7 linked regions of the Ovis aries genome follow. The protein of the gene in region 4 interacts with the protein of the main gene of each other region in a pairwise test. Links are inferred from orthologs where the notes say so. Each region holds a gene or a part of one and is shown on either strand. Other genes may lie near its edges. The genes, in order: SCAF8, RAB39A, NDN, GOLGA2, RITA1, PRKAB2 and PKP4.

Region 1 (4,125 bases), on a different chromosome or scaffold from region 4:
TAAAAAGTACATTCTTCTCAATCTTGTTCAAAATGTATTTCTCTTCCTCAATTCTGTAACTATGCTGTGCACCAGCCCCATTTCCAGAAGTGTAAGCATAATATTAGTAAACAAGGGAGTAAAAGATGGTTTAAGTTCTTTGAAAATATATAAGGGGAAAAAAAAATAAAGGGAAAGGAGACAGTGTTCCATAAACTACAGTGGGAATACCACTACAAATCTCAAGTTCTTGTGTAGATGAGATAAGAGCTGAAACATCAAGCTAGCCATGTAAATATTAGGCTCCTTATCCTTAATGTCAATAGCGAAATTTAAAAAACCAACTGTAACATTTCTACTCCTCCTTGCTCCATTGTGATCAACCACAGTCTACTGACCACTTGTTCGTATCTATCACATGGCAGGGAGGGCTGGGAATGCAGGGTACATATTAGGAACCCCCAAAATAAACAGGAGACACCCATCAAAAAGGTCTAGGGTAAATCAAATAATTGGAAGGAAATAGGAGAAACCTTTTTTATACATAATTTAAATGAAGACCACTACTTAGTGCTGTAACACTACATGTAGCAAACAAAAAAGCTACACAGACTTTCCCCCCCTCCCCTGCAGAGCTGTGAAATGATCAACAATAAATTGGAACATATAGTATCTTTATTTTTTATTTCAGATTTTAAGGACAAGGAGTGAAAGCAGATTTTATAATCTGACACAAATTATCAGCTATAAATTCATAAATAAAATGGAAAAGATTCTGAAGTTTACACTCAAATCTGTATCAAAAAGCAGTAAAGAAAACCTTGTATTCAAATGAAAATCCTTTCCAAAAAAAGGCTTTTTTTCATATAACTGTCACGGCTATCTGCTTTAATACGGAAAGTCTAATTCACATGACTGTTAGATCTAACTTTTAGCCTCTTCTAAGTTTCTCAAATGCTAATTCTCCAAAGAAGGAGGGATGGATAGAAGGGAGGGAGGGAGCAGGGAAGAAAAGAAAAATTGTTTAGGCTATCACTATTAGACTATATTGAACAGAGTATTAGTGCCTCCACATGAAAAGTTCTTAAAATGGATGCAAATCTAATTAACATATTAAAATATTTGTATCTAAGGCATACAAGTACGGATAAGCTGTGCAGACATCTACTTGTTAAATGTTTGTTTAATATAATTAAGCCTATTCATATTAGAGTGTTTAAAAGGTTTTAAAATATTTTAGGCTTCCCTGGTGGCTAGACAGTAAAGAAGCTGCCTGCAATGCAGGAGACCCGGGTTTGATCCCTGGAAAAGGAAGTAACTATCTATTCCAGTAATCTTGACTGGACAGAGGAGCCTGGCAGCCCATGGGATCAGAGTCGGACACGACTATTTTTATCAAAACGTGTCTCCCTTCAGACTAGTAAACTCAATCAAATAGTGAACACCGAACAGCTGCTTATTTAAAATCTAGCCTTATGTATGACACGTGAAGGAGCCCATGGGAAATGCCTCTCCCGCATCTTTCCTCTCGGCATGCACAGCTCTCCTGCTTTATGTCGTGATGGTGAGAAGAGTTGGCGGTGAGGAGGGTTGGGGGGGAGGTAAGGACAGGAAAAATTTGCAGAATAACCTCGCTTCCCGACCAACCATCCCCCTTAAGCTTAAGTCCCCGGTTGGCAGGTTACCTAGCCAACGATATCTCGGTTATAAACAAACACTGCTTGCAATGTGACCACAGATGATCATCCCAGGAGGTGCTTTTCCAGCACTTCCAAACCCTACCACCCCTATCAATGCCTGCCTCATTAAGGACCGGGGGAAGGCCTGAAGCGGGGATGCCTGGCCTCCAAGTTAAAAATCCCGCAGGCCCAGGAAAAGAGGTGGGCGGGCCAGGCCTCGGCGTAACTGACCCGCAGAGAGACCTGTCGGGAGCCTCCGGGGGAGGGCCCAACCGGTAGCCTCCCCCTCCACCCCCGCAGCCACTCGGGAGTAGGTGCTGGAGACACCGGAACCTCCCCCGCCCCCACCACCACCCCGGGATCGGGGGAGGGGCGCCGGGACGGAGCAACACCCCTCCCCCACGGGCACGGCCAGGCCGCCGCTCGCCCCACCCTGGAGAAAGCCCTGCGGGCCCGTGCCCAGCCCTCCCGCGGCGGGCCTTGTCCCGGGTCGGGGGTCGGAGGTCGGGGTGGGGAGCGTGGGCAGGAGCGGGTCGGAGGGAGGAGAGGCGAAGACTGCAATACCAACCTCGCTATTGAAGGTTTTCACAGCCTCCATGTTGTCGGTGCGGAGGCCCGGAGCCCGGCGGCGGAAGAGGCGGCGGCCACCGCACTGGGTGGGGAGAGCGAGACGGGGGCGGCGGCGGCGCCGCGAGGAGGGTGGGGGGTGTGAGGGGGCGGGCGCGCCGACGGCGGCGGGGACGGGGGGGGGGGGGCCGGGCCGCTGCGACCCCCCGGGCCGAGGGGAAAGGCGAGGCAAGCACTGGAGGGGAAGGGCTCTCCCTTAGGGGCGGCGAGGCCCCGGCATGGCCGCTAGGGCGGGCGGAGCGCCGGGCAGGGGAACAGAGGCGCTGCCGGGGCGGGTCGGCGGCGGCGGGCGGGGGGGGGGGGGCCGGGCCGCGGCGCCTTCTCTTCTCCGCCCCGCTCGGTCTCGGGCTTCCACCCTCCAGCCCCGGTCCCCGACTTCTCTCCACCCCCTCCTTCCTCTTTCCTCCGGCGGGCTCCTGTTTCGCCTCCCCGCCGCTCGGGGCCCGTAGGAACCAGCGGCGCGCCGCGAAGACGGAGGAGGAAGCGCTGGCAGCGGCGGCTGCGGCATCCAATATGGCGGACGCGGGTCGGGCCGCGCAGCTCGGGGATCCGCGGCGCCGGCCAGCGCGCCCCCTGGCGTCGGGACCGCGCGGGTCCGGGCCGTCGCGCGGAACCATCGAGCGTGCGCGCGCGCGGGCGGGCCAGAGCGTCGCCGCCGGGAGGCCGGGCTCAGCTCTACCCACCCCAACCCCCGCCCGGTCCCCTCCACACACCACCTCCTCGCCGCTGCGGGAATCCGGGCTGCAGCCCCTTGGAGAGCCCTGCGGGGGGAGGGGGCCACTGCAAAGCGTTGATCTTAAGAAAAACCCAAATCCCGCCCCCACCCCCCTCCCGGCAAGTTTAGGCTATAATATCCGCGTTTCCGTTGTTTCCATAGGGACTGGCCTCTTTACACGAGGTTTAGTTGATTTTTTTTTCAAAACTTTACTGGACGTTGGCCTCGAGGTTAACAGCCAGAAAACTTCCTAGTTGGTCACTTATTTGGGAACGATGTGCGCAAGCATTTTTAATAGCGTCGGGAGAAAACCTTTAGAAACAAAAGCTTGAGATTCGGGCGGGGGCAGGGGAACGAGGGAAGCACGCCTGCAGCCAGCTTCTCGGTGCAGGAAATGCACGCTGCATAAAATCCGGGGGGGACTGGCGTGGTGCAGACAATGAGTTCATTTGTCTGCGCGGCGGGAAGCGGTGCCCAGAACGCACGAGATCTGCATAGGCGAAAGGGCACCCGTCCTCTATAAACGATTGATTATTCTAAAGGAATTTTGCCCGAGGTTGCAGAGAATCGGATGGTGAATACAGTTTTTTCTAGATGAAGTAGGAGATGCTGCTAGCAAAATGCCTCCTCTGTCACTTGATGCAATGTGAGATAACCGATACCAAATTAAAAGCGAGCATTTAAGTGGAAAGTTAGGTGTGTTATCAGTGAACCCCAAACACTGTCGTTTTGCTGGGAGTCGTTTTTCAGCAGTTGCTGCTCTTCAAAGGAAAGGGAGATAGATGACTGCGGGATTTTTCTCTATAGGATTATTGGAACCAAGGTAAGAGCTCAGCCCAGAGCCCTGTGAAACAGGAAGACAGACCCTTCTTGACGTGGTAGGGCCTAGTAGTTTTTATGAGTCTTCTCCACTGACAACTTTAATATGGCCGCTGGCTACTTAGAAGGTAAAATGGAAAACCAGAAGAGCTTATATTCCATCTTGAAAAATCTCAGATCTTTTTGCCTCCCATCCTCATAGGCTAAGCCGTTGTGATCTCTTGCCAACAATTGCAGTAGCCTCCTAAACTGGTCCCTCTCCCTCCTTCTCCGGACTAGCCAGAATGGGTAATTCTTTTTTAAGAC
Region 2 (4,019 bases), on a different chromosome or scaffold from region 4:
ATATGGTATTTAGACAGTAATGACAATCCTATGTGGAAGGCAGCAAAAGAGACACAGATGTAAAGAACAGACTTTTGCACTATGTGGAAGGAGGTGAGGGTGGGATGATTTGAGAGAATAGCACTGAAACATGTATATTACCATATATGAAATAGATGACCAGTGCAAGTCCGATGCATGAAGCAGGGCACTCAAAGCCGATGCTCTGGGACAACCCATAGGGATGGGGTGGGGAGGGAGGTGGGAGGAAGGTTCAGGATGGGGGGACACATGTACGCCCATGGCTGATTCAATGTATGGCAAAAACTGTCACAGTATTTTAAAATAATTAGCCTCCAGTTAAAATAAAATAAATTAGGGGCTTCCCTTGTAGCTCAGTTGGTAAAGAATCTGCCTGAAGTGCAGGAGACCCAGGTTTGATCCCTGGGTTGGGAAGATCCCTTGGAGACGGAAATGGCAACCCACTCCAGTATCCTTGCCTGGAAAATCTCATGGACAGAGGGGCCTGGAGGGCTGCAGTTCATGGGGTTGCAAAGAGTTGGGCACGACTGAGCGACTAACACAACAACACAAAATAAATTAATTAATTTTTTTAAAAAGTTACTTTTAAGGAAAGTGTTTTAGACTCAAGAAGATTTTACTACCTATACTTCTTAATTATCAGTAGTTGCTAGAAGTTTAAGATATAAAGTTACGGTATAGAAGTTAAAGTATAAAGAACATGTTTTCACTATATTCACTTTAGTGGCTCAGAGGGTAAGGAGTCTGCCTGCAATGTGGGAGACCTGGGTTCGATCCCTGGGTCAGGAAGATCCCCTGGAGAAGGAAATGGCAACCCACTCCAGTATTCTTGCCTGGAAAATCCCATGGATGGAGGAGCCTGGCGGGCTGCAGTCCATGGGGTCACTAAGAGTAGGACATGACTGAGCAACTTCACTTCACTTTAGAGGGCAGAGCAAGAGCTATAGTAAATGCTTTTTACTGACCATGAAATATCTTAACGTTCATCTCTGACTGAGATCACAAGTGAATGAATTTGCTGTCAACCTTACAATGGTAAAACTGTAATGAATCTTAGAGATCATAATGACTCCATTTTACAGATGAGGAATTAGATTTTGACAAATTATTTTAAAATTATTTTATTTTATTTTCTCTTTTTCTCAGCGAAGTACGCTGATCTCACTCAGAATGGGTGTTGGATGGGGTGAGGGGGAGCCATGTTTGGGAAGTATGGTTAAGAAGTACCAATTCCAAAAGCAGAAGACTACCAAATGTTTGCTTTAATGAGTTCCATTGGATAATAGAACCTTACAAGAGTCCCAAACACTACAGTATATCAGATCCCTTACCCTTCTCTAAAAAAAAAGTTCTTGAATCCTAAAAATTTTAAATGTGCCTCATATCTGATTCCATCTTAAATATCTAGGAAATGCATACAATTTACATTTAGTTTTTATTTGGCAGTCACTTTTGTGAAATCCTTCAGGGTTTCAATGAGCATGTAGAATGAGACTATTTATTTGTATTCCTCCTCCATGTAGAAAAGTATTTTCTGATCTATTATCACCCTGGAACGTTAAGTACTTATTATGAATAAATTAAAGGAAAAGTTCCTAACAAATCTCAGTATGTACATCTCTCTTTTCTCCATCAAAGCACCAGTGATGACAAACTTCTAAAGACAACTCAATCCTTAAAAAACAATATCAATGAAACAAAAACTCCTCAGTTGTGTCTATGTCCTTGGTTGCTGTGCAAGACACACTCTCACGGGTCCTGGCCCTGTATTTCTGATGACCACATTCGGTGCTGTGAGATGTTCAGACCATTACCGCATTCATCTCCGTCTGCACGGTGCCCAATGAGCTCATGCTGTAATCTGGGCTGGAGCACTGCTTGCTGTGAAGCTAAACGCATCAATCATGAATCTGGGAATCCTTCTATGCAGTTCTCCGGGGCCGCATAGATGGGAAGCTGCTCGGTCAGAGGAGGAAAAGCGGAGCTTGGAGAAGGGTGGCCAGGTCAGGGCGTGCGCAGCGAGGGACGCTGAGTTTGGGGAGTAGGCAGCAGGAGAGCCGAAGAGTTGGGGATTAAAATGCCAGCAGGGCCAGAGCGCTGGGTAAGAGGAGCTGGTGAGGGTGACCTGGGTTCAGGCGGGAAAGGAAAAACGGAAAGGGGGCGCAGGAAATAGAAGCCAAAGAAAGAAGTGAGAAATTGCGGAGGAGGAAGTCGTCCCTGGAAGAGGAGGGGCAAAGGGGAAGCGAGAATGGAGTGTTTGCACTTTCGAGAGGGAAGGGCCAGAGCTGCTCCCGACTCGGGCCGGTGCGGCCAACGCTTAGGGAGGGGGCCCCAGGAGGACGGAGGGGGCGGTGCGGTCCCTGGGGAGGGTCCCAGCGCCCGGGGTCCTACCTGAACCGCTCCTGTCCCGCCGTGTCCCAGAGCTGCAGCTTTATCCTCTTGCCGGGCTCGATCTCCAGCAGGCGGGAGAAGAAGTCTACGCCGACGGTGGGGTCGCAGGCGGGGGAGCGCAGACCAGGAAAGCGGCCCTGAGTGAAGCGGTGCAGGAGGCACGACTTTCCCACGGTGGAGTCCCCGATGACGATGAGGCGGAACTGGTAGATCCAGATGGTCTCCATCGCTCACGTGCCCAGCGGACTCTAAGGCCGCCCCACCCTCCTACCCGCCGCCGGGCAAATAAAGCGGCGGGAACTGTCCGTTCAGCACCTCCCCAGCGCCCGCCAGTCGGCTTCCAGCATATTCCTGCGGCTGCGGCCGCCACCAGGTCCCCGCCCTCTCTGGAGGGAGAGGCGGGGCCCGGCCGGGGAAGGGGCGTGGCTTCAGGCCAGGGGGCGGGGTAGGGCCGTGAGGAGGAAGCGGCGGGGCGGACTAGGGCGGGGGGCGCGGAATAGTCTAGCTGCTTGAGAACTCCCGCCCCCGACCTCTGTAAATCAGTTTTCCCCAAAGCTCACTGGGCGCTTTGGGTGTGGTGAAAGGACGTGACAGAGGCAATGACCAATGAAAATGAAAAAAGGTCTCAACTCTGGGAGGGTCAGCCAATGAAAAGTGAAAATCATTTTCTTTTACAGGCGTCAGGGCGGGCTCGTCAGATTCCGGCTCTGATTTTTGAAAATGTGGTTTCCACTTTCATCGGGTTTGACCAGCTCTGTGACCACTGTTGCTGAACCAGATATCTTTTCGCGGCTTTCTGCTCTCCATCCTTGTTGACTGCCACCTCCCAGGTGTTCTAAGATGAAGGAGTTGAGAGCAAGGTTGAAATAAATTTGCAGAGCAAGTTCTGGATGCTTCAAGCAAGGACTTTGGCCATTGCTCATGCCACCACCGTCTCTTCCTCACTGCCTTCATTACTACGGAAGAATGAGAAAAATGCCAATCGCCTCCATCGTCTCTAGGGCCCTTTTGTTTGGGGAAGGAGAGAAGGAAAGAAAATGAAACGGTGAGATGTTCATAAAAGCTCCTATTCTCAGTCTCTTCTATATGTCGGAAAAAATCCCATAGTGGTCTCTACTTAGCTTGTTTCTGGTCAGGAATCTGAGTAAACAAAGCACACCTGAATTCTGGCGAGATTCTCATGCCTTTCTTCAAACTGGTTAATAATGAATTCTTTTAAAAGTTAAGCAGTTTTAAAGTGAATTTTTGTTAAAATAGAATTTTAACAATTCAACTTTTTTCTTGTCCACATCCAAACTTATACTTTTGTTATTCAGCTTTACTTCCTTTCTTATTTAGGAGGAATAAGTTTTGTTTTCAAGGATATGTTTAATCCTCTTTTTAAAACTTTTGTTTTGAAAGTAGTCTTTATTTCATGCCATTTATCCCTCAAATCTCCCCCTTTCCAATTGTTTGTACTTCCAAAGTGAAGTCGCTCAGTCGTGCCCCACTCTTTGCGACCCCATGGACAGTAACCTGCACCAAGCTCCTCTGTCCATGGGATTTGCAAGGCAAGAGGACTGGAGTGGGTTGCCATTTCCCTCTCCAGGGAATCTGCCCAAACCAGG
Region 3 (3,413 bases), on a different chromosome or scaffold from region 4:
AGTCTGGGTCCAAACCCTAAAACTAAGCCTCTCCTCCCAGGAAGCCTTTATGATCCAGGGAAAGCTAATTATCTGCTTTATTTCTGTATTTCCTCCACGGTGCCTGCTTCACAAGGCTATTGTGAGGATTAAAGAGAGAAAATATATGTAAGGGTTTAGTACAAGGCCTCTCTTAGTGCCCACAAAAGACAGCTATTATTTTTTAGAAAATATGGAAAATGTAAGAGGGGCAATTACTCTAAATATCAGCATTTGTTATTTCTATATAATGTGATTATGACCCCTGTTTTGGTTTTTGCACTTCTACTTGTCAAAGCTTTGATATGAACTTGTGAATTCCTTCCTGAAAATAAAACTATGCCCTTTACATATTTATGAGTCATGATGAGTACTGACATCCCCGTCCTATTAGATGAAATAGTTATATCTGTATACTTTGTAATTCCCATTCCAAACCCATAATATTCTGTTAAGAAGATAAAGTACACTTTTTCCATGAATGACTGTATCACAAGAATCTTTAATGTTTAAAGTTTACTCATGGTGAGGTTGTATCTGTGTTTAGTAAAGTGTGCCCACATTGAGTCTGTTTCAGTTCACATCACCAAACTCCACAGGGATGTTTCCCGTGCCCAGGCAGAGCACAAAGACAGGGGTCAACTTTTCTCTTGGTTAGGCCAGCTTTTCTGGGGAGTTTTTCCAAACTCTGCAAGACCAATTTACCCCAATACACAGCCTCCGTCACACGTAAAAGAATATGGAAAATGCCTCAGTGTATTTCATAAGTTTAGCATGTCTCTGGTACAAAAAATTCAAGAAAGGTAGCACAAAAGCGAAAGCACCAACTGAGCTTAATTACAAACAACCATGCATGAATCCTATACACTAATATTACTGAAATGAACACAACATTGCATTAAGAGGTATAAAAGCACTGTATGGAAAACTTAAAAGTTACACGTGAAATACTGCACTGTAGATCCTGAATACTCTAACGTCCCACACTCCCACCCTTCCTCCACCCTGGTGAGGGGCAGAAAACTTCCATCTGCCTCCAGACCTTGCTAGTCCTCGGAGACACTGTTGCGGGGGCAGTGGGCAGTGGGGTGGGCCTCCCGCAGGGCTCTAGCCTCTTCCAGAGCCTCCCTGTAGCGGGAAGGCCAGGCCTGGGGGTTTTTCTTAAAGACCCTGGCCAGGAACTCCATGATCTGCATCTTGGTGATTTCGCGGCTGGCACGGGAGCCCCAGAAGAACTCGTACTCAGGGGGCTCGACATGGGGGACGCGCTGGTACTTCAGGTAGTTCTGCTGGACGAACTCCTCGGTGATAAGCTTTCTCACGTCTCCGAAGGTGGAGTGTTTCTTCCAAGGCCTCAGCCCCAAGATGCGCAGCACGTTCCAGACTGCACTCTCTCGAGCGCCGCGACCCTTCACGTAAATGAGGCTCAGGATCATCAGCAGGAGGCCCGTCATCGGCATGCGGTTGCTCAGAGCGACCCTGTCCAACTCCTCTGGCTCCAGAGCTTTGACCAGCGAAAACTCCATGGTGTGCAGGCTGGTCAGCCTCAGGTGCAGCCCGAACACGCGTGCGAGGATGAGGCTGGTGCGCCGAAGGATGCTTCTGCACCACTTCTTGTAACTGCCGATGACATCCTTCACCATGTCTGGGAACCAGATGATCATCCTCTTCTGGTCCTTGACCAGCACGTACCACATGAGCTCGTGTGCCTTCTGCACCAGCTGGGCCGGGGCCGGGGGCGCCGGGCTGAGCTGACTTGTGCTCGGGGCCTGGTGGGGACGGCCTTCGTCAGCGGCCTGCTGCAGGGCCTTCGGGTCTCCCTCTTCGCCTGGAGCCTGGGAAGGCAGCGAGACCAGAGGGGCATCAGGCGGGCTTAAGGGAGGGCGCTCTGGCTCAGTGAGTGTCGCGGCCTGAGACCCCGGAGGAGAGGGCCCCCCGGTAATGCCGGGGCTGCCGTGCACCTCGGAGTTGGAGGCCTCGGCCGCAAAGTTGGGGTCGCACACATCCTTACTTTGTTCGGACATATCTGTTCGGTCTCGCAAGAGCAGGGCCGCCGAGTCCGAGAGCTCTTCGAGTCTGCTTTCCCTCCGCGGACTCCTGGAGAGGAAGTGCGCATTGCTGCGCGCGGCGCCTTCCGCAGAGGCCAGGCAGGGCGGGGCGGCGGCGGGCCGGGCCAATGCGCCTGCGCGTCCGCGCGCCTGGGGCCCGGCAGTCGAGTTGGCGGGCGGGGCTCCTGGTGGGCTGCAGGAGGGGGCTAGGAGGCCCCCAGTAAGCATAGAGGGTCCGCTAGAATATGGGCCTCAGTGATCACACCCCCTCCCCAGGTATCCTGTTATGGCTAAGGAGGAGTTCTTGAGGAGGAGGGGAGGGAGATGGGTGAGCACTGGACAAGGAGTCAGTTTAAGGGACAGATGGCAATTTAAGCTTCTGAAATGCTGAAACTGAACTTTCTTAGGAAGCATTTGATTAGGTATATCCAAAATCAAGTTAGAGATCAATCCAAGAGTAAGAACTAGGCTGGTGTGTCAACTAGGTTTCAGATCAGTGTGAGAATTTAAACTGAGAGAACAGCCAGGATTGCCCAAGAAAATATGTCAACTCTGAAAAAGAGAAGTCGCTTAGTCATGTCCGACTCTTTGCGATCCCATGGGCGTAGCCTACCAGGCTCCTATGTCCATGGGCTTTTCCAGGCAAAAATATTGGAGTGAGTTGACATTTCCTTCTCCAGGGGATTGAACCCAGGTCTCCCGCGGTGCAGACAGACAGTTTACCCTCTGAGCCACCAGGAGAACTAATTGGACAAATTGGAATTCTGAAGAATAACAACAAAAATTCATTGATTTCCTACCGTATGGAAGAGTTTTGAACAAGAAATGCAGAATGTTGTCAATCCGAGTGTGATCGAAGTTCTCTTGAAGGCAATATAATAATGACTTTGTTAGTGTTTTAATGGTCATTGATTTTGGTTTTTCTATTCCATTGGATAATTTTGATGTAAATTTTGTTTCATTAGAATCCCCTCACACAAAGATTATATTAGCATAGACTCATAGGATGTCTTTCCGCCTGTTTTTCCAGGACCTTCCTTTTCTTTATGACTGTTTCAACCTCCGCTTTTCTTCCTGTGGAAACTTCACCTTCTTAGAGCACAACATCCCCATCTTCCACAGATACTGAATAGTATCACATGCAAATCCCTCCCAAGATACTTTTTTTTTCTTTTTTAAATTAACCTAGATCCCCAAAATTTTCCCAGATAACAATTGATTTGAGATGTAACAATTGGTGGTTGTATATCAGTTTTCAAATTTAGAAACCAAATCTGCAGTTTTGTTTGAGACTGTCAACAAAAACAAAGTTGACAGTCCCAGAGGTGCATCCTTTAAAAAAAAAAA
Region 4 (4,070 bases):
AGTTTGGCAAAAAGCTGGAAAAAAGTATTCCACACAAGGGACAGCATATGCAAGTGCTGTAGGGCAGGAGAGAGCACCTGTGTTTGAGGGAATGAGAGTGGTTTCCACGTGGGTGGAATGGGTGAGGGAAGGAGGGTGGTGTGAAAAGAACAAAACCAGCCAACCACTTGTGGCGATGTCACGGAGGAGGAGAGACAGAGCCCCTTTGTAGGGTCTGGGGTAACCCTGACAAAGGACAGGAACGCTGTTTCTTCTCTGAAGCCTGGCGGGCAGGAGGAAAAGATGACGGGGAAGGACTGAGAAATGACCTGGAGTTTCTCTGTGGAATCAGGTCAGCTGGGGGGAAGACCCCGAGGAGGGCTGGGGGGTGGGTCAGCCGCTGTTAGGGAAGGAGGGAAGGGCTGGGAGCAGCATGCAGGGGGGAGGGCAGGGAGGGGGCACAGGCTACATACTCACAGGGGATCGGAAGGCCCCGCCGCAACTTTTGGAAAGTCCTGGTTGAATCCTGCAGAGGAAGCCGAGGGAAGAAGTCTGATTGGACCTAGAGGCCGCCTGGGGAGGAAAGGGGTACTGTGGGGGTGTGGAGAGGAGGAACAGCTGTGAACCCAGACTGGATCCGGTTGGGAAGGGGACAGAGAATGGTTCTGGGATCAGGGTAGGGATTCTCGAAAAAGGGGAGTTTCTGACAGGGAGGAGTGTTGGAGTGGATGGGGGGGCGCGGGGTGCGTCTATGGAAGTGATCTCTGAGGAGAGAAAGTCTCAGGCAGAGCTACAGGGGTGTCACGAAAAGGGACTGGGAAGAGATGTGCTTTCCCCCTGCTATCAGCTCCTTGCCCACCTCCTCAGCCCTGGCGTCCGGGGCCCCCGACTCGGGGGGCGCTGCAGAGAAGGAGGGTCCAGAGCGAGGACGGAAACGAGTCTCCTCAGGTCCGCCAGGTACTTGGAATCCTGTGACGGAGACTAGAAACGTCACAAAGCGTAGCTACGCACGCACTCCGCGAGAGCCGGCTCAGTCCTCTCCGCCGAGGTGGGCAGGACAGGCCGCTTATTCTGCGGCTGCGCTTTCAGTGTTTTTTTTTGTGACTCCACCCTCTCTTTCGGGCGAAGCGGCGGCTTTAGCCGTGCGTCTCCGCCCCGTATCTTTCCCACTACCCAATGGGGTTAGAGAACTGAGGCCACTCCAACACACCGCGGCCTCCTAGTACCGCCCCGGAGCCGCCCTCTCTGGGCTGAGTGGCACCGCGGCGCGGAGGCTGCCGGAAGCGATTCCGCAGAGGTTGACGGGATCGTGCTGATGTGGCCCCCCCTTCCCCCGCCCCGTCCCGGGATGTCGGAAGAAACCCGACAGAGCAAATTGGCTGCGGCCAAGAAAAAGGTAAAAACGTGCGGGCTCGCGGCTCCCTGACCCCTCCGAAGGCCGGGCCATGGCCAGAGTTTCTGTGCTGCCTCCAAGGCAACGGGGTGAGCCCCTCGGCGCCCCTTGGCGCCCCCCCCCCCCCGCCGCCAACAAAGTCTTCGCAGCCAGTCCCGCCCCCCGCTACCCCTCCGCCCCCCGGCTGCCCAGTCTCCGCCGCCTTCACTCGGCACCCCCAGGTGACTTTGGGCCGGTGACCCCCGGGGCTTCCCACACCAGGCTTGGCCTTCGTCTCCTGTCGCCCGGAACCGCACCTCCGCAGCTCCCTGGTCTCCCTAACTCCCGGACTCCGAAAACCTCGGTCCTGGCCTTTGCATTCCCCCCCGCCCCCCATCAACCGCCCCCCGCCCCCCGACTCAACGCGGAGCGGCTACTCGGGCGTTGCTAGGGATCAGTGCCGTGTGGCTACGTCATAATGCCCCTTGGAACTGTCATTAGTGCCTAGGAAACTCGGTGTTAAATTTTACCACCCAGTTCCCACTGTGTTTTCACATCCTTTCCCGTCTCTCTGGGTCCCGGCACCAGCTTGAAAAAGGAGACTCGGGGGGATATGGGACCTAGATCGGACCTGGGTTTCAGGCTCCTTCACCTCTAGACTTGTACCCCCATCGTTTGATGTAAAAAGCCTACACTTCCCCCAGTGATCTCCAAACATTGACAGTATTTCTGGGTGGCCATGGGGAGAAGGTGTTTGGTTTAGTTTGGTTTTCTCCCAGGTCTCTATCCAGAGAGACTTTCACATTTTTAATCGGAAGTTTCTACTTCACATTCTAATTTTCCATGATTCTGAGACTAGTGGGCCCGTCACTCAGCATTCAGTGCTCCTCTGAGGAGCACATCCAGGGAAACTGAACTTCACAACGGGGAATCTTTCACAAATCATCACCTCAACGTGGGGCAGCCCAAGTGCCACAGGATAAATATGGGACTGATGGATCAGTTTTGCTTGATTTTCTTGAGAGAGAAAAAACCTTTTATACTAATATACGTAGGGATGACATTTGCGTAGATTTGTATGATTATAATGGACTTCTCTCTGAAATGTGTTTGGGTTGTCCTCTTTCGGTTATGTTTCCAGAATCACTAGGGGTGTGTGTCTTCTCTACCTTCTGCCATCAGGATACATTGATGTAAAATTTTGAGAAGTACTGGTGTGCAGCTCTAATAGAGATGGAAGAAGGGACCCTGATGTCTGATCAAATGATTACATTTCCTCTGCTGCTGCTGATTTTGCCCCCTAGCAGCTGCTGATTGATGTTGTAATCCCAGAACTCAGAGTCAGAAGGCTGAGTTTAAATTCCGTTGTTGCCTTTCATTGCCACCTTTTGCTCCTAGCCACATTATCAGTCCATTTCAAGTCATTGAGGACGACAGCCCTTGTAGGGTTGTTGTGGCATTAAATTAGAAGGCAAAGAGTATTTTGTAAACTTTGTAAAGTAGGATGTGGATCCAGGGGGCGTATAGTTCTCATGAGCCTCACTGCTTTTCCTTTTTACAGTTAAGGGAGTATCAGCAGAAGAACAGCCCTGGTGTTCCTGCAGGAGCTAAGAAAAAAAGAAAGATCAAGAATGGCAGTAGCCCTGAGACAACCACTTCTGGTGATTGTCCATCACCTGAGGATGTGAGTCTTGCCTGACCGCCTTCCGGGGATGAGGCACTCAAGGGGCAACAATAGAGGGTAGTGGTTAAGATTGTGGAAGAAATGTCAGATATTGGCTAAGAAGTTTGGGTTTGAATTCTCCCTTTCTCTCTGCAAGGGATATGGTTTTAGGCAAATTGTTTAAGCTCGTTGGATCCCTGTTTCCACATTAGTAAAATTGGGGTAATACTGTCTTACACCAAGGAAGTTGAAATGAGATTGTCGTCGTTTTTATTATAATCCCCTAAAACAGGGCCTGGTGCAGAGTAGACTTTCAATAAAGAGTAGTTGCTAGTTGACTTAACTGCTCTGGTGATCTTCCCCAGCCTCATGGGGAAAGCCAGGCAGCTGCTTGCCCTCAGACTTTCCATTTAGAGGCCCCAGTAGAGCCCCAGAGTGTGGTGAGGAGAGGGCCTCAGGCAGTTGGATTAGGAGACCATCTGAGTTTTAAGACCATCTTTGCCACCAGCTTGCTGGGTGGCCCTGGGAAAATCACTTCCTCCCCTGGGCCTCAGTTTCCTCATCTGTAAAATGATACTGGTGGATCAGATTATTGCCTTTAAAGCTTATTTTTTAGCTGTAGCCCCTCTGCCGCCACTTCATTCAAGTGGACCCTGTTTCTGAAGTCTGGTTTTTAAAAGTCTAGGCCTGAGGGTCTAAGAAGCTATTAAGAGCTGCATTGTTCATCTGAGGAGCTATGTGACTGCATTGTTCAGGGGACTTCTCCATCTGTTTGTTTCCCTTGATTTCTGCCTTTGGCAAGGCAGCAAGTGGCTACTTGGAAAAATGACCCAGGCCTGTATTGATCCCTTCTGACTCCTTTCTCTCTTCTCCAGCATTCCGTTGCCCCAACCCGTGTCTTCTTCCTTCCTTGACTCTCTTGCCTCTCTAAGCCACTTTTCTCTTTTTCCCCTGCCCTTGTTTTTCCCTTTTCGCCTCCTGTAGATTCAGGACATTCTGGAGGTGCTGGTGTCCGACCTTAACCGCTCCAATGGGGTAGCGATCCCCCCATTGGAC
Region 5 (4,270 bases), on a different chromosome or scaffold from region 4:
TGACTCAGTGGTAAAGAATCTGCCTGCAATGCAGGAGACTTGGGTTTGATCCCTGGGTCAGGAAGATCCCCTGGAGGAGGGAATAGCAACCCACTCCAGTCCTCTTGCCTGGAGAATTCCATGGACAGAGGAGCCGGGCAGGCTACAGTCCATGGGGTCGCAAAGAGCTGGACACGACTGAATGACTAACACACACACAAGCGAGGCCACAAAGGTGAGGCTCTAATCCAATAGGATTTGTGTCCTTATAAGAAGAGGAAGAGGCACCAAGAGTGTACACACTCAGAGAAAAGTCCATGTGAGGACCCAGGGAATAGCTGGCCATCTGCAACCCAAGGACAGGCTTCAGGAGAAACCAACCCTGCTGGCATCTTGACCTTGGACTTTAAGCCTCCATAACTGTGGAAAATCAAACTTATGCTGTTTAAGTCTATAGTATTTTGTTATATATAACAAACCTGATTGACTAATATATTAGTCTTCCATATCTCTGTTCAAGACACTGATGACAATCAATAAGATAGAGTCCTGTGGCCTCCCTCGAGGCTGAAATTCATTGAAATAGTCTAAATAATCCCTACAAAAATAACCACTGGCATTAGATTCCATTTTTCTAACTTGTTGGTGAAAATGAAGCAAGAACCATTTTCAAAATGACTTGCTTCAGTTTGGAATCACCATATCTATGTCATTTGATGGATCAACCACACTAATAATCTTATGCAAACTGTTCTGTGACTTTGGATAAATCAAGGGCTTCCCTGGTGGCTCAGAAGGTAAAGAATCCTCCTGCAGTACAGCAGAGCCAGGTTCAATACCTGGTTTGGAAAGATCCCCTGGAGAAGGAAATGGCAACCCATTCCACTATTCCTGCCTGGAAAACTCCACAGACAGAGAAGCCTGGCAGGCTACAGTATATGGGGTAGCAAAGAGTTGGACACAACTGAGCGACCAACACTCTCTCTCTCTGTTGGACAAATCACCTCACCCCTCTGGGCCTCAGAAGTCCAGTCTAATGCCATTACCATTTATTTATTCCTGAGTGTCGGGTAACTGTGCCAACCACTGTACATGTCTCATCCCCTTAAGTCTTCTCAATAATCCCACTGGGTCCCACCTTCCACTGTGAGGAAACGGGCTCAGAGAGGTCAAATTGCTCGCCCAAGGTCACACAGCAGATGAATGGCAGGGAATCTTCCTATCCTATTACCTGTATTTGTTCTTCTTCCTTGGTGTGAGGGTTGGGGTGCTGCCACTGGAGGAGGTGGACTCACAGCTCCCATTGGCCCCCAAGGCCTGAGACACCCCTGTCCCCACTCCTCTGGGTCTGTTGGCCTTCTTCATCCACGGTGGGTCAAAGTCTGGTGGTGCGGGCCGGGTGCCTGCAGGGCTGCCAAACAAAGTCTCATCCACGTATGATGGCCTAACCTTGACCCGGTAGCCACTCCGGCCACGGTGCTGAACGTGGAGGGTCTGCATCCCGCTGATGGCCATCTCCACCGGGGTCTTCATGCTCTCTGTTGTCCTGAGTGACAGCAGGGGTGCTCTGCTTGCCAGGCCCTACATCCAGGGCTCCCTGTGAAAAGGGGTCAGGGTAGCAACCATCTGTCATCAGAAAAGACTGGCAATCACTTTAAGGGCCCATCCCCAGGGCAAAAAGGTCACATTCTCCCTCAACCAGTCTTCCTCAAAGGGGAGCTGCCAATCCCAGGGAACATTTCAGAAATTTGACATTTTTTGAGTTGTTGTAATGAAGGGGTGGGCGTCCCTGGTGGCTCAGATGGTAAAGAATCCACCTGCAATGTGGGAGACCTGGGTTTGATCCCTGAGTTGGGAAGATCCCCTGGAGGAGGACATGGCAACCCACTCCAGTATTTTTGCCTGGAGAATCCCCATGGACAGAGGAACCTGGCGGGCTACAGTCCATGGATTCGCAGAGTTAGGCACGACTGAGTGAGTGAGCACACAGAAATCACGGGGACAGGGGTGCTACAGATGAATATTTAATGAGTAAATGCGCATTCCTAGCATACTGGTGTGTGTTCAGTCAATATTTATAGAACACTAGGGGAATGAACAAGAGATTTGGGCCTCTGCCTATTCTGGCACCACACAGAAAATCAACTATGCTGATGAGGAATGGGGGAAACAGGGCAGGTTTCTATATCTTGTACATATTTATCGGGCAGAAATAATAACCAGCATTGATCGATCCCAAGCCTACCTCCTGCAAAGAGCTTTACAAGCATTGTCTCATTTCATCCTCTCAACACTCCTGTGAGGTAGCTTCCATTATGTTCATTCTATAGATGACAAAACTAAGGCTTCAAAAGGTGAAGTTGCAAGTGTCAGTCACACCTATAAAGCTAAAACAGTGGAAATTGAATTTGAACCTGATTAAGGGTCTAAAGCTCCTGCACTTAACCATTCCCCTACTAGGGGATCACACCCAGTCCTCCAGCTGCCCCTCATTCACTGATCCCCAAGTCCACGTCCCGGAGATGTCCGATGTGCCCGCATTATCGAGTTATTTTCCTACCTGAGCATCTTGGTTCGCTGACGTCGGTCGTTACCGTCAGCGTCCCCTGCTCCCAGGCCTGGACTCCTTTGTGGGGCGCTCGGGCATCGGAGGCGCGCGCCGGACATCCGAATCGGCAGCTCTGAATCCCGGGAGCCCGCGACTCCGGGAAGTTCCAAGGCCGCCCCCAGCTCCAACCCCAGACCGGGGTACGGGGCGGAACGACTCAGAGCTGGCAGCCGGGCCCTAGCGACGTGTGTTCCGCGCGCGCGGACGCGCGTCAAACAGCAACCCGTGAGTGACAGGATGGGGCGGGGCGGCCGGAACCATTTACTCCTCGGGGGTGAGTTAAGGCCCCCGATTCCGGACGCCCCCCGGAGTTCCCCAAAGCTTCGGAAGGGGTACCTTCCGCGCCAGCGAGGGGAGTGTGTGTGTGTGCATGTGGATCAAGCCCCTGGAGGCAGCAGAAGGAGCAGGAACGCAGCCGGGGCCGCGTGGAGGCGTCCCCCGTGCCCCCGCCGCGCTGTTGGTATGTCCCTATGGGCTCCGCCCCCTCCCATTTCCCGGCGCCGGGGCCCGCATGGCTGCCGGCACGCGCCCGGCGGCCGCCCCGCGGTCCGGAGCTACCATGGCCCAGTGGAAGAAGAAGAAGGGGCTCCGGAAGCGCCGGGGTGCGGCGTCCCAGTCCCGCAGCAGCGACTCGGAGGACGGCGAGTTTGAGATCCAGGCAGAAGATGACGCCCGGGCCCAGAAGGTAGGGAGCGCAGGGCTGGGATACACGTCGGAACCCGAGCTCCGCGCGGTGCCCGGCAGTTCCCCCAGCTGGGGAGCGGGCACGGCTGAGGATGGGGAGAGATCGGCTGGCCGGGGGATCAAGGCAGGACCTCCGGCCTGAGCACGTGTCCCAGGACCCTCCACACCTGGGGTCTAGACTCCCGAAGCCTCTGTGTTGGGTAAGCTCGGGGCCTGCGGGCCTTCCTGGCTGACGCTTGGTCTAGCGCTTCTCATTGGCTTCTTCCTGGCCATCGAGGGCGGGTCCTGGTTTCCATTCGCCCAATGAAAAGTGCGGGTGCTGAACATTGGACTTTTGAGAGTTTGGGGGTTCTTCGGCAGACAAATTAGGAGAAGGCTGCACCTCGTGGCTTTGAGACAGCGACGCCCCCAAACCTCTGGGAAACTAATAATAAGTTAAACTCGCGTCTATTGATCACTTACTGTGTGCAGGCTCCGTGCTAAAAGCCTTTATAAGCCTTATCATTTAATCACCACATCAACCCTGCGAGCTGAGTGCTTATCCTCATTTTCCAGAGAAGGAAACAGAAGCCTGGAGGGGTGAAGGAACTTTACCAAAACCTCATAGCTTGTGAGTGGGAGAGCCAGGATTCAAATCCAGGACTGTATGGTTCCAGACCCTGTGCTATTTCCACTACTGAGTGCTGAGTGTATGCAAATGGGGGGGGGGCGGGGGGAGGGGGAACAGGTGTGAGCCCCAGTGGAGCAAAAGAGCTATAGCCTGTTGTTTCTCACAACCTTGTGCTTAGCGGGTGTCTGGCACAGAGAAGACTCTGGGTATAATAGATGAATGAGTGGGGGTTTATATGAAGAGAGCCCTCTCTGCTCCTCAGAAGTAGGGACCAGATGGGGACCTTATTCCATCTCAACCGAGCCTCACACAGAAGGTTCTCTATAACTAGGGACCAAGGCACAGCCATGTGTTCAACACCTTGTACTGGCTGTGGGGGAGTACACATG
Region 6 (3,500 bases), on a different chromosome or scaffold from region 4:
ACTGGGAGAAACAAAAGCATAGAGATCTATTCCTCTATTGAGGATTTTTTTTTTTTAACCCAAAACTTTAAAAATTTCAGTTAACATATACACAAAAGAAATTTGAGGTTTTTATAACTCTTTTTTCCCCAAAGACTGCCATATGGGTAGGGCCTATTAAATATACAACTGCCAACTAAGCTATCAATCTGGCGGGATTAAGTTGAGGCAGCTAAACATGGCACAGGAGACATAAGTAGCTCCTGCTAGTTGATACTGTCAAAGGTCAATGAAAAAACTGAAATATTATTAGAAATAGCTTTTTAAACTATAGATCACAGCACATTAGTCGTTTATAAAAAGAAGAATAAAGTAGAAAATAAAGTGCTTCACATGTAATAAAGGCAAACATCATAGTGCAAGACATGTTACTGGTTTGTGTGATGTGTGTGTTGGGTTACAATGTAAATTTAATGTAGATCAAATATATTTACTTTCACTTACTGTGAAATCAAACACATTACACAGATTTCATTCTCTGAGAATATGACCTAAATGTTTACAGGAGAAACATACATACAATTTGGAAGATTCCTAAGTCGAAAATGAAAAAAACAAAAACCACTCTTGGGAAGAAACATGCATTTTAAGAAAGGAAAGATCAAGAAAGAGCAAATACTACAAAATTACCTCGACAAGATGTCTCTGAGCTTTCCATTGAATCTAGCTTTAAAGCATCAAACACCTCAAAATCAGATTTCTTGACATGAATCAAATTGTTAATTGTGCCAAGCTGACTGGTAACCACAGGCTGAAACAGTGAATGGAAAAAAAAAAAAATTCATGAATCCCCATTTCAAATACATCTCATCCATTCAACTCTCCTCTTTTTAGAAGAGATTATACTTGACACCACCATCTTTTATCAACAGGGAAATCCAACAGCAATGATATCTGACACCCAGCGGAATAACAGCTAAAAGGAGACTGTTAAGCCAGTGGTTACCCTCGGAGGTCAAGGTCTTACCTCTGATGGATCGTGAACCCACTGTCCATCCACAAAAAACTTGTACTGGTGCTCTCCCTCAGGGAGGTCCAGGATGGCAACAAAGTCATTATGGCTACAGAAGAAAACAGAAAGTTAAACAGGCTAAATTCTTATTAGAAGACAGAAGATAAATGTAAAACCATGAGGCAATCACAGTATCATACCAGTGATCTCCCACATTCCTAAGTGATTGCACCCCCTGGAGTGAAAAATAATTTATAAACCCATTCTCCTTTTCTATATCCCCTTGAGCATGTATTTGCTATCCCTCCTAACAACTTTAATTTTTAACTAATATCTGAAAAAGAACAATAAAGATATTAATCCCCCAGAATGTTTCACTTTAGTACAACTATTTTGCTTCAGCAGAACAGATCCCTCAGGAGTGTAAAAAAGATAGCAAGTAGGTTCAGGATATGAAGTGCCTCAAGGTACTCTTTCCACATTTTGGTGAGCATTTTCTAGAAAATTACCTATATACAAAGGGCCATAGTCAGTTACATAACTCATTGTTGCTCTGCAAGCAACAAATAACATTACTACCTAGAACTTTACAACGTGTTTTGTTTTAGTGCAGAAGTCAGGGCAACTGGACTCAGGCAGTTACGGGAGACTTCCCACAAGCATAGAAAGGACTTCTATTAACACAATCCTAAAGAACATACCTCCAAAACTGTTGGAAGTCCCTCTGAGGCAATGACATTCTAAGTGGTAAAACATCTCTGACTCACTATAAGGTTAAAAAAAATGTCACAGATATAGTTACTGGTCACAAAAAATGTTCTAGAGAAAGTCCCTAGCAGGTGGAGAGGAGTAGTCCAGCCAAGTCTCTCTCCTGAGAAAGGGAATTGGGTCTCTACTCCTGGACCCAGCAGACTCAACCAAGACACTTGTCTTCACCTCTTAATCAGTGGAATCTTGGTGCTCCAATTGTTGAAGGACCCAGAGATGAAGACCTCCTTGCCTCCTTCAGACCAGCGGATAACAGTGGGCCGGGCCTGCTGTGTGGGCTTTACGGAGTCCTCCAAATCCTGCTGCCATGATACAAACTCTTTGTCCCCAGGGAGCTGTAAGAAGGATTAGGTCATCCCTAAATTGTGTCCCTGGAATTCTGAAAAGGTCACTCTCCTCCTTAGGGCAGAGAGGGGTGCTACATTTCTGATAAGGATTAATAAGTCTTGAAATGAGCAACTACTTCAAATTTTGAACAAAACTATAGAAAAGAAACTCATCTAGGACCCAAATGGTCAAATGGCTTATGCCCAAAGTCTGCCCAAATCACAGCTTAATTTCTGAGTCTGCATGAATCACTCATCCTTTCAGAGTCTTGGGATGTCCCTTAAAATACAAACAAACAAAAAATCTTACTTCCTGTCACCAGATTAACTCATAGGCAGACAATCATGATATGCTTATCTCTTAAGAGAAAAATATCAAAATAAAGCACAGTTCTACAAAAAATAATTAAGTTAGTCATCTATTTTTTTTCTTTTGCTGTGCCATGCAGCATGCAGGATCTTAGTTCCCCAACCAAGGATTCAAACCCTCACCCCTGCAGCGGAAGCACAGAGTTTTAATCACTGGACCACCAAGGAAGTCCTGAGCCATGTATTTTTCATATGTAAATATAAGCATCTCAATTATCAGTTGTAATAGAAATTAGAGATACTAAAATTCTTAAATAATTCATAATTTCCTCTTTAGTTAATAGGTTATAAAAAGACATTAAATACATAAAAATCAGATCACTGGTTTCCTAAATTTTGAGAAATAGTTATGAAATCTTACTTATTCATCCATGTCAGGCTTATACTAGTAATTTTCAGGAGTAGGGATGAAAATTGTGGAGCTACAAGAAGCATCGGATCAAAAACACAGTTTCCTTTAAAAAAGTGGTTCCCATATCAAATGAGGTATGTAGGGTTGCAGAAGAAAACTGACTCCTTAGTCAAGTTTATTTTCATTACCATCCTTTAGAACAGAAACTGGCAAACTATGGCCAGTGAGCCAGATGCTTTTATAAGTTTCATTGGAAAATAGCCACACTCATTCACTTTCTCATTTTCTATAGCTGCTTTCATGCTGCAATGGCAGAACTGAATATCAGTGACAGAGACTGTATGGTCTACCACAAAGTCTAAAATATTTACTATCTGGCCCTTTACAGAAAAAGCTTGTTGACCCACACTTTAGAGTGGCTTAAATGACTTTGGTAAATAAGTCTTTATGGTATCAAGCCAAAATATTATTAATACCAAATAAAATAATGTGGGATAAAAAAAAAAGACTATTCACTTGCGCTTTACTTTCAAAATGGCTGAGGCAGTCAACCTTCCATACTGTCTCTGAATATTCCTCAAAACTACAGTATAAGACGTTAGTGGCAACAAAATCCTTAGTAAACAATGAGAACTGAAGGAACTTTCACATTATATAAGGAAGTGACTTAAGAGAAAAACTTGATCTCCATTTT
Region 7 (4,293 bases), on a different chromosome or scaffold from region 4:
TTACTACAAACTGCGGAAGACACTTTCTAATTAAGGTACCACTGAACAATTCTTGTTTATTTTTGTAATTTTTAATTATGGCAAGATAACAAACAGTAGCATATTATCCAACTTAAAATTCAGGACAGTAGAAAGACATATGTGGCTTGCACACACATTAATCTGTTGCTCTTAACAAAATATTTGTAATTTCCAAAATTCTATCAGTTTTTTCATACAATATGGTCCCTTCAAATTGAAGGGCAGTAGCCTAAACATAGTCTTCTTAATTAAAAAAATAGTGTAAAAATGGCAAAATCAACAAAAAGAAGGAACATAAGAATATCAGTGACTATATCACAAAACAATATAATGCTTAAAAGCCCAGTATGTTCACAAAGTTCTATTTTAATAGCTAGTATCTAGATATGAAAATTACTTACAAAAAGCAATCTGTATTTACGAACTAGCAAAGTGACTTTAAATGAAAGCAAAGCACTTGTAATTAAAGCTCAAGATTTTCTATGTGACTCCATGTCTCAGTTTATTTATCAAATTTAGAGGCAAACTTGAAAATAGGCAGAAAACAAAATCTACCAAGTGTAATCTATTTCCTTTACTCCCTTGTGAAATCATCAGAAGACATGAAGGATCAATTGCCTGTGTCTTGCCCCACCTTGTAAACTCTTAGGGGAAAGAGCATGCACCTGTCAAGCTTATAGTGCAGAATGCACACACAGATGGGCGTTTAATAAATATCCTTCAGTGGAGAGATTAGAGGTTTTCTTTGGGAAGCAGGGAACACATCTCATGCACTGACTAGATGACATCCATCATACAACACGTCAGCCTGTTTCCTCATAAAAATATCATCCAAAGGAAATCTTTGAATGATGTTTAGTCTCCTTTTAAGTCTTTAGACCCAAAATTTTGATGCAAGATCCACCCCAGGGAAGGGGGAGTGGTTGGGAAGAACAAGTAGATTTGATGTGGGTCAGTGACGTCAGGAAGAAGCAATGATTTAAGGGATGGGGTGCAAACTCACCTGGAGAAGCAGAAGGTGCACACGTGTCAAAGGCCAAAGGGCAGAGGCCGAGGGACTCCCTAATCGCAGAAAAAGTGAAATGCCCACTCCCAGGTTCTCAAGGATTCCTCTAGGGGCTCAGCTGTCCCTGCCTTTGACGCGACGGACTAACCCTTCCATGCACAACTGGGTTTGACAGGGAGACAAAGCGAAAGCTGTCCCAATTTCAATCAGCACTCAGGAATCCCTCGGTAGCTCTTTCCTCCACCCCCTCCCGCACCCAAAGCCAGAGACACCTTCATCCTCACTCCCCACCTTCTCCAGGCCCTCTCGCTCTTAACAGCATCGGTCTCTATGGCGACCTGAAACCTCAGTTCCCATTGGTCAGTTCAATATGAGGGCCGGTCCAATGGGAAGAGCCAGCCTTCTCCTTCCGACCAATGGGGTAGGCAGGGAGCAGGTCCGGAGACGGCGGCGTGCTGACGTTCCCGGGAGCCTGGTGCTGGCTGGGCAGGCGGGCTGAGTGCTGGGCGGGCGGCGGCGGCCTCTGGGCAGTAGAGGGGGCTCCGGGGCTGAGTCCGCGTCGACGCCGGCCGCGGAGGCGGCACCATGGGCAAGGGGTAGCGGGGCAAGTTGGCCACCGCCGCCGCCAGGGGTGGTGGGAGAGCCGCTTCGGGGTAGGGGGCGGGTGGGGGAGGGAGGGGCGGGCAGCCGCTCGGCCGCGGCACTTTTTTAATTTTTTCGAGTGCCGCAGCGGCGACCCCACCGCGCCGATGTTCCTGATCCCCGGAGCGACGGCGGCTGCTGCCTAACCTGGAAAGTAAGTGTGCGGGCTTGCGGGAAGGCGCGGAGACTCCGGCTCACAAGACCCCCGGCCCTCGCCCCCTCGGGCCGGAGATGGGACTTGCCTGCGAGGGGCGCGGGGAGGGACGGGGACGGGCGCCTCCCTCCCGTTACTCCGTCCTCACCGCCTCGCGGCCGCCTCGGCTTTCCTGCCCCGCCTCGTGTTCCTGCCCGCACTCGCCTGCCTGCTCCCCTCCCCCCGGTAGGCGCACAAGTTTCACCCTCCATTTGCTTTTCCCGGTGATTACTCTTCCCCTGGTCTCCCCTACACGCAGCGCACGACCCCACCCCGCATTGGCCTTTTTGGATCTAGGGCCCGCAGCCCCAAACTTGAGCGCCACGCCGAGCCCTCCTGGACGTCTGCCGGGAGGCTTCCCCTCTCCTGCCCCCCTGGTACGCCGCCTCGCGCCCCCAACACCCCTGGGCGCCCGTCTTCGCGAACCCCCAGGGCGGCCCGTCCTTCTCTCCAGCCCCAACTCCTGCACCTTGCCCCGCCCCCCCCCTCCCACGTCCCTTCTGCCAGTGCTGTCTTGCGTTTGCCCGGAGTCCCGCGCTTCTAGCTGGTCCTGCCCACCCACCCTGTCCAGTGCGCCCCTCTCTCCTCGCCGCGTATGCTCACGCTCCACCCCTCCCGGTTCTCTAGCCGCAAGCTTCCCCGGCTGCCCTCTTGCGCGGCCGCTTCCTTCTCTCCCTGCCAGGAGTTGAAGAGGAGCTGCGGCACCCCCAGGCGGATAGAGTGTCCCTGCCCGCCGCTGGCGCTGCCCACCCTTCTCTCTTTCCCCCTCTACCCGGGAAGCGAGGGGCTGAGCGGTTGGGCCGAAATTTGGCTGCGTTGTTGGCTGAGTGCGACAAACAGCGAGAGCGGGCAGTAGAGGCGCCGCGGCGGCCGTGGCCGCGCGGGGCGCAGCAGTAAGCAGGTGTGTGTGTCCGGGGGGGACGCGCACCGCGGGCTCTTCGGCTGGCGACAGACTGTGCAGGAATGCGAGGAATGCACCGGGAGCATAGTCCACGCGGCCCGCCGCGGCAGAACTAGAGCCTTCCCCAGCCCAGCTCTCGCTGAGCAGTCAGAGGTCACCGGAGCATCTTCGGAGCTGGTGAGCCTCTCTCCACTCCTCTCCTCCCCTGGCTTTTCTCCATGCGGCAGAGGGCGGCGGAGGGGAAGCGCGGCAGTTCTGTCGGGCTTCAGCTAGTCTTTTCGTCTGGGATTTTGCTGCATTGGTCTCCAGGACCGTGAATTTCGTGCCGGTGGCGGTATAGCCAAGGTTATTGATAATTGCACAAGGTTCTTGGCAACTTTGGTTTACAAGGTTTAAATAGTGCCTGGATTTTACGAGGTTTTTTTTTTTTTTTTTTTTTTGATCTGCAGGAAAGGGTGCCTAAGGTTCTTTGAGTAATGAGCTTGCAGCCAACGTATTTTGGCTCTATCAAAAAAATGTCTGTTAATGCTCATGGACGGGGATGTTCTTCAGGAGATAACTTGAATGCATCACTTTACTGTCATAAAAATTGTATTTTTTTTCTCGAAAATTGTAATTATTTTCTCGCATACTGGGCTGTGTTTAGACCTCTTACAATCCATAATGAATAGAAACAGAGAAGCAGTGTTTGGTCAGCGATGGGACAGATAGGACTGTCTGGTACAGTTAAATTCGGGGCGTGTCGGTTACCATTGGAAGTAATGGGGTACTACAGATGATGTACATTTCAAGATGTAATTTATTAGTTGAGGTCGCAGTTCTTTCTCTATTTTTGGCACCGAGTTTGAACGTAAAATAAAAATACAGGTCTATGACTTTTAAAGAATGGTGGTTATTTATGTGTAAAATCCAAAATGATTAATTAGTATATAGTTTTGGTCAAAATTTATTTTCCTTAATGCAAAAAGCAAATTTTTGACAGAAGTTGCTTTGCTAGAACAGGACTTAGATTGTGTTATTTTAAAAGGTAAAGTAGAAGACCACTTCTCTTTTTGAATGTAGTGTATTGCTGTAGAAAGTATTTAATTTCCTTTCTCGTACCAGTGATACAGTTACAAAAAATGGTAGCATTCTCTCATTCTCATCAACATGAGAACAGTTGATGTCCAAAATAAGTATTTCTGGATTTGGAAAAGTATACTATGTGTGCTTTTATTTGACACAGTTTGCTTTGGAGGTTGAATTTACTATAAGCCTCTCCATGCTTGGCTATTTTGTATCAGATTCAGGAACATAGTTGATTGTCCAGCTGTCTACTAACGCCTTCTGTGTAGGGATCAAGGGCATTGAAAAGTATAAAATGAGAGCCTTTCATTTGGTTAAGAACCCGTGGGGAAAGGAAACAGAGAAAAGAAAAAAACTTTGTGATGGATAAAGTTGTGTCTTTTGGCTGCTACATTGTTTTCCAGGTATGTTCATAGTAAGTGTGCCTTCTAGTTTAGAGGGTTGGCTCTAAATTAGAATTAATAA

The links.
Region 1: the proteins of GOLGA2 (region 4) and SCAF8 interact in binary tests that used the Homo sapiens proteins (3 or more experiments, as listed by UniProt). The two-hybrid records come from large-scale screens. The link is inferred for Ovis aries from reciprocal best matches to the Homo sapiens genes GOLGA2 and SCAF8.
Region 2: the proteins of GOLGA2 (region 4) and RAB39A interact in binary tests that used the Homo sapiens proteins (3 or more experiments, as listed by UniProt). The two-hybrid records come from large-scale screens. The link is inferred for Ovis aries from reciprocal best matches to the Homo sapiens genes GOLGA2 and RAB39A.
Region 3: the proteins of GOLGA2 (region 4) and NDN interact in a two-hybrid assay, tested with the Homo sapiens proteins (2 studies listed by BioGRID and IntAct). The link is inferred for Ovis aries from reciprocal best matches to the Homo sapiens genes GOLGA2 and NDN.
Region 5: the proteins of GOLGA2 (region 4) and RITA1 interact in binary tests that used the Homo sapiens proteins (3 or more experiments, as listed by UniProt). The two-hybrid records come from large-scale screens. The link is inferred for Ovis aries from reciprocal best matches to the Homo sapiens genes GOLGA2 and RITA1.
Region 6: the proteins of GOLGA2 (region 4) and PRKAB2 interact in binary tests that used the Homo sapiens proteins (3 or more experiments, as listed by UniProt). The link is inferred for Ovis aries from reciprocal best matches to the Homo sapiens genes GOLGA2 and PRKAB2.
Region 7: the proteins of GOLGA2 (region 4) and PKP4 interact in binary tests that used the Homo sapiens proteins (3 or more experiments, as listed by UniProt). The two-hybrid records come from large-scale screens. The link is inferred for Ovis aries from reciprocal best matches to the Homo sapiens genes GOLGA2 and PKP4.

What each region holds. Positions count from the first base shown.
Region 1 is NC_056061.1:79,150,992-79,155,116, reverse strand, and holds the start of SCAF8 (SR-related and CTD-associated factor 8), read right to left. Parts: upstream 2,801-4,125; 5' UTR 2,794-2,800; coding exon of another isoform or gene 2,482-2,793; 5' UTR 2,257-2,481; coding exon 2,227-2,256; intron 1-2,226. Other genes in the region: actin nucleation-promoting factor WAS-like, read right to left, coding at 2,482-2,793. UniProt on the Homo sapiens protein: Anti-terminator protein required to prevent early mRNA termination during transcription. Together with SCAF4, acts by suppressing the use of early, alternative poly(A) sites, thereby preventing the accumulation of non-functional truncated proteins.
Region 2 is NC_056068.1:17,177,965-17,181,983, reverse strand, and holds the start of RAB39A (ras-related protein Rab-39A), read right to left. Parts: upstream 2,801-4,019; 5' UTR 2,640-2,800; coding exon 2,413-2,639; intron 1-2,412. UniProt on the Homo sapiens protein: The small GTPases Rab are key regulators of intracellular membrane trafficking, from the formation of transport vesicles to their fusion with membranes.
Region 3 is NC_056071.1:620,230-623,642, forward strand, and holds NDN (necdin), read right to left. Parts: upstream 2,131-3,413; 5' UTR 2,043-2,130; coding exon 1,065-2,042; 3' UTR 501-1,064; downstream 1-500. UniProt on the Homo sapiens protein: Growth suppressor that facilitates the entry of the cell into cell cycle arrest.
Region 4 is NC_056056.1:8,011,033-8,015,102, forward strand, and holds the start of GOLGA2 (golgin subfamily A member 2), read left to right. Parts: upstream 1-1,270; 5' UTR 1,271-1,294; coding exon 1,295-1,375; intron 1,376-2,912; coding exon 2,913-3,035; intron 3,036-3,998; coding exon 3,999-4,070. UniProt on the Homo sapiens protein: Peripheral membrane component of the cis-Golgi stack that acts as a membrane skeleton that maintains the structure of the Golgi apparatus, and as a vesicle thether that facilitates vesicle fusion to the Golgi membrane.
Region 5 is NC_056070.1:61,268,829-61,273,098, reverse strand, and holds the start of RITA1 (RBPJ-interacting and tubulin-associated protein 1), read right to left. Parts: upstream 2,801-4,270; 5' UTR 2,540-2,800; intron 2,367-2,539; exon of another isoform or gene 2,225-2,366; intron 1,577-2,224; 5' UTR 1,513-1,576; coding exon 1,211-1,512; intron 1-1,210. Other genes in the region: ATP-dependent RNA helicase DDX54, read left to right, coding at 3,099-3,272. UniProt on the Homo sapiens protein: Tubulin-binding protein that acts as a negative regulator of Notch signaling pathway.
Region 6 is NC_056054.1:98,147,487-98,150,986, forward strand, and holds part of PRKAB2 (5'-AMP-activated protein kinase subunit beta-2), read right to left. Parts: intron 2,095-3,500; coding exon 1,928-2,094; intron 1,101-1,927; coding exon 1,007-1,100; intron 791-1,006; coding exon 670-790; intron 1-669. UniProt on the Homo sapiens protein: Non-catalytic subunit of AMP-activated protein kinase (AMPK), an energy sensor protein kinase that plays a key role in regulating cellular energy metabolism.
Region 7 is NC_056055.1:151,253,571-151,257,863, reverse strand, and holds the start of PKP4 (plakophilin-4), read left to right. Parts: upstream 1-1,493; 5' UTR 1,494-1,823; intron 1,824-2,121; exon of another isoform or gene 2,122-4,293. UniProt on the Homo sapiens protein: Plays a role as a regulator of Rho activity during cytokinesis. May play a role in junctional plaques.